Linked DNA regions of Struthio camelus. The protein of the gene in region 3 purifies or fractionates together with the protein of the main gene of each other region. This does not show direct contact. Links are inferred from orthologs where the notes say so. Each region holds a gene or a part of one and is shown on either strand. Other genes may lie near its edges.

The links.
Region 1: the proteins of L3MBTL2 (region 3) and YAF2 purify together in Homo sapiens (affinity purification with mass spectrometry; 5 studies listed by BioGRID and IntAct, counting the BioPlex papers as one, with this or other methods). This does not show direct contact. The link is inferred for Struthio camelus from reciprocal best matches to the Homo sapiens genes L3MBTL2 and YAF2.
Region 2: the proteins of L3MBTL2 (region 3) and TFDP1 purify together in Homo sapiens (affinity purification with mass spectrometry; 4 studies listed by BioGRID and IntAct, counting the BioPlex papers as one, with this or other methods). This does not show direct contact. The link is inferred for Struthio camelus from reciprocal best matches to the Homo sapiens genes L3MBTL2 and TFDP1.

What each region holds. Positions count from the first base shown.
Region 1 is NC_090942.1:33,985,519-33,989,261, forward strand, and holds the start of YAF2 (YY1-associated factor 2), read right to left. Parts: upstream 2,713-3,743; 5' UTR 2,496-2,712; coding exon 2,470-2,495; intron 2,372-2,469; coding exon 2,180-2,371; intron 1-2,179. UniProt on the Homo sapiens protein: Binds to MYC and inhibits MYC-mediated transactivation. Also binds to MYCN and enhances MYCN-dependent transcriptional activation. Increases calpain 2-mediated proteolysis of YY1 in vitro.
Region 2 is NC_090942.1:156,568,305-156,572,047, reverse strand, and holds the start of TFDP1 (transcription factor Dp-1), read left to right. Parts: upstream 1-1,473; 5' UTR 1,474-1,688; intron 1,689-1,854; exon of another isoform or gene 1,855-1,905; intron 1,906-2,093; exon of another isoform or gene 2,094-2,401; intron 2,402-2,479; exon of another isoform or gene 2,480-2,724; intron 2,725-2,739; exon of another isoform or gene 2,740-3,151; intron 3,152-3,328; 5' UTR 3,329-3,402; coding exon 3,403-3,414; intron 3,415-3,743. UniProt on the Homo sapiens protein: Can stimulate E2F-dependent transcription.
Region 3 is NC_090942.1:56,935,205-56,938,947, reverse strand, and holds the start of L3MBTL2 (lethal(3)malignant brain tumor-like protein 2), read left to right. Parts: upstream 1-1,426; 5' UTR 1,427-1,517; coding exon 1,518-1,538; intron 1,539-1,876; exon of another isoform or gene 1,877-2,074; coding exon of another isoform or gene 2,075-2,080; intron 2,081-3,276; coding exon 3,277-3,544; intron 3,545-3,743. UniProt on the Homo sapiens protein: Putative Polycomb group (PcG) protein. PcG proteins maintain the transcriptionally repressive state of genes, probably via a modification of chromatin, rendering it heritably changed in its expressibility.

The DNA.
Region 1 (3,743 bases), about 23 Mb from region 3:
ATTAAGAATCAATGCACACTAAGAACTCTGTGGAGGCATCAGCTTAATCCATATAAACATTAAATTTAAAAATGGTAGGCTGGAAAAAATTAATTCCCATCTAAACTCCACAGCGTTGCTATTTTGAACAACATTGACGAAAAACACTTCATTGCACAGGCAATATGAGCAAATGTTTTAACAGGGACCCAATTTGGTTTTTTGGACTCCAGCTCCTTTTAAAAAAAGTCCACCCAAATGGTCTTTAAGGTGCCAGGGAGACACAAATGATTCTCTCCAGAGACACAAAGGTCTACTTACTAGCTCAAATCTAGTTTCAGATTTGGAGCTTAAAATTGCCTGGTCTAAAACCACAACCTGTATTTATCTCATGCCATGTGTAAATCCTGGGCTTTGCACACATGTGAAAATGTGACCCATTTAAACCTTACAAGAAAAAAAAAAAAACATAAACCTAGTCAGCTACACATTTGTTGCGGAGTTTGAGTAGAAAAATAAAAATCAACGCACCAGCTAAAACTCTGCGTACGAGAACATTGTGGGGGAGGAAAGAGACACCAAAATTCAAGCTCTATATTTTGCTCCCAAAACATTCAAGAGGAAAAGGCCAACTGGTTTATCTACTTATTTATTCCGAAGATTTTTAAGTTTTAGTGCTTTTATCTCACTGAGTTCCCAGTGGGACAAAACACTATCTTAAACTGACTTTGCCAATGCAACTGAGTAGTGTTTAAAAAAAGGTTGTTACTCGCATCTCTGCTGTTTTAAAGATTTTGCATTCACTCTTTCAGCAGTGTTATTCTGTTGAATATTATCGATCCATACAGACCTATCCATGACACAAACGCAAAGCCAGTCTTGACATAAACCATGCTATATGTGACAGATACAGTTCCTCTTAGCACATTTATCTCACCGATTCCCTTATTATTAAAAAAAAAAAAAAAACAAAAATCAACAAGCATTCAAGACTAAGTTATCAGAAGTACTTTGGACATTCATTCAGGTTTTCAGAAGTCTAGGAAATAGGTGTTAGAAATAAAGCAGAATCTTACTTGTAAAATAATTTGACTTAACTTTGCACTTTTGATTTTAAACATACATTTGTTGCAATTCATATTCCATATTGCTTTGAATGATATTTAGAACGTAATTGCTGTTTTTGATAGGATTGCAACTTTTATTGCCACTTAAACTTCTCTTGCTGACAGGATTAGCCAATAGGTATGATAATCACCACAAAGGATTCTTTAATAATATTCTGTCAGCACACAAAGACTACAAGTGCAGTCCTGTTGGTTTTATAAAAATCCTCCATTCCCCAAGCGCGTCCATTTAGGCCATATTATTGAACAATACAGATACACATGGGAACCAGTTAATTCACTGCAAGCTTTCAAATGGGTGCTACAGAAAAAAAGGCCCTTCCTGGGAAGTCACTGATTTTTCAGGGTGCCACTTCCACACGGCACAACTCAGCCCATTCACAATTCCTTTTGAAACAGCCAAGAGTCACTATCCATCTCTACAGCCACCAAAATCTGCATGGTGGAGCAAAATAGCTCTGTGGATGAAAGCAAGCAGCCGGTTGGGGGGGGTGAAGAGGAGGGGGGTATAAATGACATTTTAGGGAGACGAAGTTAAACTCCTTAGAAGAAGAAAAAAGAGATATTAATTCAGGTGAGGGTTTTAACCAACCAACCATGCCCCAGCAGGGGGGGGGGGGGGGGATGGCTCTTCCCTTCTGCGAGGGGCACGGCCTTGCAAATGTTTGGGCTGTACAGACTATTATTTTTTTGGCTGTTGTTTTTATTATTATTATTTTTCGCTCCTCTCCCGGCAGTTACAGCGCGGTAACCTCGGGGAGGAGACACGGTTACACCACCCTCTCTCCAGTCAGTAAATCTCATCGGGCCGCAGTCCACGCACGGAGGAGCGGGGCCTGCCTGGGGTCATGTTTAGTGGGGAGCCCCGGGCTGGGGGCGGGGGGGGGGGTCGCAGCGAGACGAAGTCTCGCTGCGACCCCCCCCCCCCGCCCCCAGCCCGGGGCTCCCCGCTAAACGTGACCTCATTCCTGTCACAGCCGGTCTCCCTCACGGCGCGGGGTGGCCGGGGGGAGGAGGGGGGAGCCCGGCCAACGGCTCCCCGCGTGGCGTGGCGCGGCGCGGCGGGCACTCACCGTGTGGAGGTGCCCTTCCTCACGTCGCACATCATGCACTTGAAGGCCTCGGCGCTGTTGCGGAAGGTGCAGACGCTGCAGTCCCAGTAACCCTCGTCCGAGGAGGGTTTCGGCTGCCGCTTCGGCCTGCGGAGACATACGCACACAGCGGGGCCGGGGGGGGGGGGTGGAAAAGGGGGGGGGGAGAGAAACCTACCGCCGTCACGCCGGCCCCGCCGCCGCCGCCTCCCCCGGGAGCGCCCCGCCGGCCGCCATCTCTCCGCGGTACCGGGCCCCGGCGCTGCCCCTACCTGGTCGGGCTCTTCTTGTCTCCCATGCCGGCTCCAGACGCGTCCCCCCGGCGCGGCGCGGCCCGGCGCGGCCCTTTGTGTATTTGTCAATAAGGAGGAGCGCGGGGGGCGCTTGTCTCTAGCGGGGACCCGGGGGGGAGGAGGAGGAGGAGGAGGAGGAGCCGCCGCCGCAACCTCCAGCTGTCGGGGAAACTCCTGCCGCCGCCGCCGCCGCTGCTGCCCCCTCCCCCCTCACGTGTCCCCCCGCCGCCAACCAGCGGCCGCCCGCAGGCCGCGGCGCCCGGCGGGCCGCGCGCGGCGGCAGGTTCGCAACGGCCGGTGGCGGCCGGGCGGCGGCGGCGGAGGGACCGGGCGCCGCGGGGGCTGCTGGGGGCGCCGCCGGCGGGAGGGGCCGCGGCATGGCGGCGGGGGGGGGGGGGGGGCGTGCTGAGGGCCGGGCCCGGCGGCGGCCGCTGCCATTGTCCCGCGGGGCGCCCGGCCGCCTGGTGGCACATGGCGGCGGCGGTGTTGGGGTAGGCCGGGCGCGGCGCGGTCCGCCGCCGCCCCGCCGCCCTTCCCGGCGGCGCCGTGCTGCTCCGCAGGGTTTGCGGCCCAGGCCGCGGGCCGCCGGCGGGTGCGGAGCGGGCAAGGGCCGGCGAGCGGCGGGGGCACGGCGCTGTGGCGGGCGGGCGGCCGGGCCTCGCTGCGGGAAGGGGCGGCGGCGGCGGCGGGGCTCTGCCCGTCGGGGAGACGCGAGGGAGCGTCCCGGGCCAAATCAGGAGCGATGCGGCATTCGCGTGTTTTCGTGCCGGCCGGCGCTGCTTTCCCGCTGAGACCGCGTTTCTGTTAGCACAGAATAACGTTTGCAATAACGTCTCGTTTGCCTCGTTCTCCTTTCCAGAGAAATTTTTGCCGGGCCGTGCTTTGGTTTAAGGAGGGAAAGGAGATAAAATGAATGCTTCGTGGGGGTCTGCTTAGAAACCACGCAGGCCAGTGAGGCACAGGGAGAATGTGATAGGTGCTGATACAAAATCAGAAGATAACGGTGTTATCTAGTATCCACATGTAATGCTTGGCCTTTGTACTTAAAAGTGCAGAAGTACAACGTGGTTCACATGCAACACAGTAACATGAAACAAAACACTATTATTTGTTACCTGTGTTACAGCAGTGCACAGGAGCCCCAGTCACGGAGTAGGATGCCATTTTGCAAGATGCTGTACAAACAGAACAAAGAGCACATGTCCTAAGTACGTAACAAAAGGCAGCAGTCAGATACAGGTAGATGGCAGAGT
Region 2 (3,743 bases), about 100 Mb from region 3:
AACTGGAGGAGATGCTGGCTTTTTTGAGTTGTTGTGTGTGTGTTTTTTTTTTTTTTTTTTGGCTGAGGCTGGTTTTGTTGACTGGAGAGCTGACAGCTTACTGGCCTGAGATTTTGAATAGTAGCTCTCTTAATGTAGTTGAATCTTGCAATACTGCTGACAGCTTTATCTACCTGTTCTTGGAATGGGTCACCATGCAGAAAGATCTCAGCTGCTTCACCTGAGGGTCAGCTCTGGGCATTCAGGGGCAGCACTGGGGAGGTCTGTGTCTTCCTCAACAGTTACGTTTCCAATATGATTATCTTTTCAGAGGCTCACTGCTCTTCAAGCTCAGTCAAGAATGAAGAATGGAAAAATGGGTATAACCCCATTTTAGTTAGCAGAGCAGGGTACTAAATCATCAGCCATGGAACCTGAAAATAGTGAGTGACAGGTAGCAAGGTGTTACTGTAAAGGAAAAACTTGGACTGTGGCTACATTTATCAAAAGAATCAGAGTAACTAGTGTTTTCTCATTGTTAGAAAACACAACTCCAAGATTTAAAAAAAAAAAAAAAAAAGTGTAAAAGAGGTAAACTCAGTGTGAATCTAGTCAACTGATGAACCTTCTCTGGGGACTGTGACTGATTTTTCGTTCTGTTTTTATATAGTAGCTCTCCTGGTAATGTCTTTTATTCACGAATAGTCGTCTTTCCCAGGCACGATCAGGAAGTAGCACAGTTTTTGAGAAAGAAAGAATCTTTTCTTTCCTGCTCCCCTCTTGACTGTGTTACGATAACCTTATCATACACACTTGGTATTGCATGCAAAAGTTGCTGAGCAGCTCCCTCCCTCAAGCAGTCTTTTATCTGCACCTATAACCAACACAGCTTTTGAAGCATAAGGCTTTGCCTTTGCTAGTTTCTACCGTTATTGCTATGCCTTTATAGCTCCTACTATGCATGCTGAAAGTTTTTTGCCAAAAATTACATCTTTGTTGTATAATTACATCACGCAGCCCTAGCTAACAAACATCTTTTCTGCTGCTGTAGCTGCACGCGCGCTTGTCTTTCTGCTAGCATATAGAGTATGTGGAGGTTTCACATCCTTAAGTGCAAGAAATCATGCAGGCTGATTCTTTAGGGCGGATCTGGCCTAATTCAAGCACCACAGCAGCAGCTGTGTAACAGGAAAATTTTTCCCTGCAAGTGCTATGAAATGACAAGCTTGGAATGGATCAGCCTCAGTGAAGTTGCTCAAGTAACAGCAGGACAAGAAGCGATGAGGAAGCACCGGCAGGATGTTGTGGCAACTAACCACACCGTGCAAGCCGGCTCCAATTTAACAGCGTCATGGCACCCGCAGCCCCTGAAACGCTGTCAGCCGGGGCCGGGGAACGCTAGGGCTTCCCATCGGCCGCGGGCGAGGAGCGCGGAGGCGAGACGCGGCGCGGGCTGCCTGCCTCCCTCCCTCCGCGAGGAGCCCGGCGGCGGCCGGGGCCGAAGAGCAATCTCGCGCCGAGGCTTCCCGCGCGCTCGCTCCGAGCGCCGCAGGGCGGGCAGTCCGAAGGCGCGAAAATCCCGCGCATGCTCCCTCCGCCCACGGAGGGGCGGACGGTTGCCTCTAACCGCTCCGCGTGTGCCCGTGCAAGGCACGCTACACCCCCGTGACGTCAGCGCGCAGCGTCACGCCGGTGGGACGCACAAAAGTGTAAGTTTCAATTTTTTTTTTTCCTGCCAACGGGGGAAAGGAAAAAAAAAAAAGAAAGGAAAGAAAGAAAGAAAGAATCGCAGGGTCGCGCGCGCGCGCGCGCGCGGGACCCGGGGAGGGGCCGCGGTGCTGGCGCCCCCTCCGCGCCCCCCCCACCCCCCGCGGCAGCCCCGGCCAGGGGAGAGCGCGGAGGGCGGGCGGCGCGGAGCCCGCGCAGGTGTGCGGGGCCGGGGGCGGCCGGGCGGGCCCGCTCGCACCTGGGGGGGGGGCAGGCGGCGGCGGCGGTTCGCCGGGAGCCCGCCAGGCCGTTGACCCGCTGGGGCAGGGGCGGTCTGGGAAGTGACAGGCGGTGAGGCGAGCCGCCCCCCCCATGTCCCCCCCCCCCCGTGCTCTCCACGCCGCGCCGCGCCGCGCGAGGAGGGGGGCGGTCCCTGCCGGCCCCCCCTCCCCGCCTGAGCTACCGTTGGGGACCGTTGGTCGTCTCCCCCCCCCCCCCCCCAAGTCGCTGCCGCCGGCTGCCTCCTCCCCTGCCCCCTCCCGCCGGGCTCGCCAGGCCCGCGCGCGCCGCCGCCGCCGCTGCCGCACATGTGCAGTTCGGCGCCTCCGCAGCAGCGCGGCGCCGGGCGGGGGGTGCTCCTGCTCCGCGCTCCGGGTCCCTGTCTGGGGGCGGCGGCGGGGGATGGAGCCGGCTCTCTCCGCCTTCGGCCGCTCAGGTGCGGGCAGCCCGGGCCGGCCTGCGGGAGGAGGAGGAGGAGGATGGGGATGATCCGAGGGGGGTGTTGGGGGGGGGGGGGAGTTGGCGCCAGGCGAGGTGCTGCCGGCGGCGGGGCGAGGAGGATTAGGAGAGGACGGACCCCCCCCCCCGCCCGCCTGCTGCCGCCTTCCCCCCCCCCCCCCCAAGCCGCTGCCGGCGATGCCGCCTCGCGCGCGGGCGCATTTCCCCCCTTCCTCGTGCCCCCGCCGCCGCTGAGGCGATTAGCGCGGCCCCTCGCTGCTGAGGGGAAGGCGGCGCGGGGCTTAGGGCTCTGCCCGGGCGGTGAGGCCCTGGTCGGGGGGCATCGAGGGGGCGGTGGGGGAGGCGGGCGGGCGTGCTGGTGCCCGAGGCGCGGTGGCAAGTGCCCGTCTCTGCCTCTTGGTGCAGCCGCGGCCCGTCCGCCCGCGAGGGGAGGAGGAGGAAAGGGGGGTTGCGGAAGGCCCCGGGGGGAGCTGGCCCCTGAGGCCTACTTGTGCCTGCTGCTGGAAATGGGGGTGGGGAGGAGGAGGAGGCCGCCGAGGGAGTGATCTCTTCTCCCCGTCGCTTCTGCCCGCGCCCTTCTCCGCGGGGTTGCAAAGGGCGCAGCTGGACAGGGACCGGCCCAGCGTGGGCTCCGGCTGCCCTGCTGGGATCGGGTATGTGCTGGGGGAAGGGCGCTCCTGCCAGCGGAGAGCTCACCCCAGCTGTAGGATAAGGGGTATTTCTAAATGTGAGTTTGGGGTGGGGGGCACTAGGGGGTTATTTGATGATGACATAAAACTTTTTCTTCTTAAAAACATTTTTTTTTAAAAAGTAAAATGTATTTGGTGGTATTCAGTAATTTCCACGGTAAAAACTTTTCCCCCTTTCGTTCTTGTAGCTGATGTTGTCTTTACTTACTTTCTAGAAAATAGCATCAATTGTCTCTGTGTCCTGCAGCCATCAAGATTTGAAGAGGATTGATTTCTAGTCTTTGGTAACATGGCAAAAGATGTAAGTATGTTTGTAGTATGTCATATGCGGAGGAATAGCTAATATATTTTTGCTTTTGTTTTTACTAGCAGAAGGAAAGCAATTTATGCTTTACAGTAGCCGGCATTAGTGGATTTGTGGAATATACTTTTCCTCTGTTATACACCACGCTGAGACTGTTTTTCTTCAGATGTTACAACATAAAGCCAGCTTTATATCTGCAGCCATTTTTCAGAGTAATTAATCAAGGAGTCAATGTCCTCATAAAAGCACTTAAGCACTTGCGTTGGTGGCGTTATGTGTATTCACATTGGATGCTAAAAATACTTATTTTTGAGTTTACGTACATA
Region 3 (3,743 bases):
ACAGTGACACACATGCATTGTGATTTTGCACGAAAACACGTTCAGCTTGCTGCATGACCTCATCCAGACAGACTATACAATATAACCAAGTCAATACACTATGTAATTTAGTCACATAAATCTATCACTGATTTGAGATGCCGCAAGCAGGAGGCAAGGGAATGAATTAGCAGTACCAAGAGCATAGCGGGCCAGTGGGGGAACTACAGCGAGCCACCAGGCCTGCCATCCTCCGTTCCGTACATACGTTAAATACCTTAATTTCCTTCACCTAAATAGACCTTCTAACAATTAAAAGAATGATCCAAGTCAACTTGGCACAAGCCCTTGAGGTGCTAGTGACTTCCCAGTACTTCAGCTGCCTTCATTTAATCTTCAGCTAAATGTCATGGCGGTAGCTCCCTGTGCCACGAGCACAAACCTCCATCAGAGTCTCTCCTGGAGACTCAATTTTTCATTCACGTATTCTGTAAAATTGGTAGATCAATGAGTACATATGAGAAAAGGCTTCTGCATTCATTTCCAGTTATTCTGCGTGACTGCTAGGCAAGGACTGATACTGTCTGTTCTGTTCTGTAACTGTACCACTGTCATCGGCTCTGGGATTCTGCCTCTATCCTTGCTTTAGCACAGGACAAGTAGCAGAAATATACTTTTCAGTCGCTGCGTTCACTGACGCAGCGCTCCTGCCTTTGTGGGAGCAAAGACCTTATGTGAGGCAAGATCTGCGCAGCCACAGCCTGACGTGCCGCGTTCTCTAATCCAGAGACTTCCGTAAAGAAAACGCGGGCAAAATTTAAAAAGCGCCTTCAGGATCGGAGAGAGCTATTCCGCAACTAGGGGAACGGATGAAAAAAAGATTTCTTTAAAGGCCGTGCCTTCTTTTTGTGGGTCGTATAGTTCACACGTACGCAAGCGTCCGCCGGTTGTCTGAGGGGGTGTCGTGCGACTGTCTGACCCTGGCTACCGAGTCAGCCAGCTCCGAAAGCCACTTCAGGGATCCCTTTGGAGGGTGCAGGCGCCCCGCTGGCTCCAAAGCCTCTTCCCAGCGTGCCTGGCTGAAGTGGCCTCCTTCAGGGGCACTTTGAGAAATATTTACTTGCTTGCTTCAGTTGCTGTGGCACCTCTGCCGGGCGCGGTGGGCAACCACGGATCGGTGGAAAATTAGGTTAAATACAACTTACAGGGATTAAGTAACAGTAGTCTCACCCTCTCCCCGTCGGCTCTCCCCAGATCTCCTTGTGGCCTAGACCTAACCTAATTCTTGTTAAAACACACCCCGGTGCCGGGGAGCCGGCCTCGGCGTGAGGAGCCGCGTGAGGCGCCATGGCCGCTCCGCCCCGCCTCGGCCGGGGGGGTGCTGAACTACAACTCCCGTCGTGCTCTTCGGGGAGCGTGGCCGGGAACAACCTCTGCGCTGATTGGCTCCTTCCTTCCGCCCTCCCACCACTCAGCTGTGCCGCTGGAGGGGGGACGCGCTCCCGGCGCGTGAGGCGGGTAGCGGCGTCTCGGGAGCCATGGAGCAGGAGCGGGGGGAGGTGAGAGGCGTTGGGCCGGGCCGGACTGGACTGGACTGGGGGCTCCTCCGGGGCCGGAACCGGGCCAGGGGAAGGCTGCCGGTCTCGCAGTTGCGATGCGGCCTGCCGGGTGCTGGGCGAAGCCCTGGAGCAGCGGGCGAGGAGGCTTGGGCCACGCGGCGCCCTGAGGAAGGGGGCGAGGCCTGGGCTGTGGTGGCGGGGTAACGGCTGTGGTGGCGTACTAACGGCTGCCCGGAGCCGGGAGGAGCGGGCATCTTCCTCCTTCTCCTCCTCGTGGCCGCCGTATTGTTGTGGTAACCGACGTGGCTCTTCGCCCCGCCTTCGCGCTGCCTGGGGCCGGGCTGCTGCTGTTGGGGGGGGGGGGGGGGGGAGCTGGGCCCGTCCGGCCCTGGGCAGGACGGGCCTTTGCGCCCGGCTCGCCTCGCTTAGGAGATGGGGTTACGGGCGGTGCTGTCCTCGCTCGTCAGCTCTGGGAGTTTTCAGTCGCGTTTAATGGAAGAGTAACGGTCCAAAGATACTCGTTTCTTATGAGCTGAATGAAGGTGAGCGCTGTGAAAGGGGCAAGAAGGAGACGAATGTGCTTTTTGAGAGAGTCTAGCCCCTTTTAGGCATCAGGAACACTGCCTGAGGATGTGGACCTGCAGGAAAGCAGCCCTGATGTTCAGGGAACAACCTCGGTGGCTTCGGTTTGTTTTTTTTGTGAAAGCAAGGGAGGATATGGGGAGACAGCAATGAATGAAGTCTGTTATCTTCCTGTTTATGTCTCTGTAATACTACCCAGGAGCCAGGAACTAGTGGGAATTTAGCACTGGAAAGGGATGGATTTGCTGCTGATCCTTAGTTACTGCCTACTTGGATGAACAACTGTCTCCTGGTCCCTCACGTTGCTGCTCTAATCCATCTTTCTCTTCCCTCACTGTCTGTGCTGATGCTGACTTTTTGCTGCTCGTTCCTGAACTGCTAACACCTTTTCCCAGCTTTTTTTTTTGCCCTTTTTGGAGTCCAGTTCAGGATTCTTCTAGTTGGAAAAGTAGTCATCGGACTTCTGAGGCTTTTCATCAATCGCTACCTCTCTGCCCTCTTGCTGTAACAGGTTGAAACCTATCTTTGGATTGGATAAATTAGTATGAAGAGCTTGTGAAGATGTGTAGATACAGACAGATCTAGTTATAGGGAAAGACTGTTAACAAAAGTTGTTCTGTCTTCCTGCTGATGCAGCTTCTGAACTTAGGTCAGCTCTGGACTAAGTCATTTCCATAGAACATGAACTTTCTCTAAAGTCGAGTTTGTTCTGCTGACACCCAAGTTGAACTGATTTTGTGGGCTATGGTCACCAGAGTTTGAAGTTTTGTCCTCTGTGCTGGAAGCTTGTGGTGACCTTGGTTTGTTATTGTTGATGGTGTCTGCTCTGCTGTGCTGCTGTTGGGAGAGACAGTGCCTGGAAGGGCATAGTCTCATCTCTTTCTCGAGCCTTTTTCCATGTAGCTGCAGCTCTGTGGCTGTGTTTGTTTGCCCTGTGAAAGCAGAATGCATCACATGAAATACTTGTGAAGGAACCTGTGTGAGGGGGGAATAACTTCCTTGCTATGGGTTTGAACTCTTGCCTCTGGGTTTGTTACATGGACTCCTCGCTCACCGAGACCTATCCCTGGTTCGGGAGGTCCTGGCAGCGAAGGCAGGCTTGTTGTGGGGTGAGGTGTAAAATGCCTGTTTTAAAGCAGACTGGTTCTCTTGCTAGTTGGTGTCTCCCTTCCGCCACAAGACTTCATCTTTGGAGCGGATGGAGGAGGAAGATGATGATGAAGATGATGAATTGGACATCTTTGGAGGTTACGACAGCTTCCGGGGCTACAACAGCAGCATGGGCAGCGACAGCAGCTCATGCCTGGATGAGTCTAGTGATGATGAGGTGGTGGATCGGGAAGCTGGAGAGCTTCCGACCTCCCCTGTGCACCAGCACCAGCCGTCCACAGGCCGACTGACAGAGGACAGTGGCTCTGAGCCAGGTACTGTGCTGCCTTCCCATTTCTAACGCATATGTGTGATAGAACAAGGGCTGGAATTTTTGCTGAGGGAAGCCAAAGAGCATATGACTGTATCTTGAGTATGGTTTGTGAGCAGAACTGGGTTGAAACTGCACTTTCTGGGTTACCTGGGGGAACTGCTAGGTGCAAAGAGGGTTACCTGGGCTTAGCTTTGTCTTTG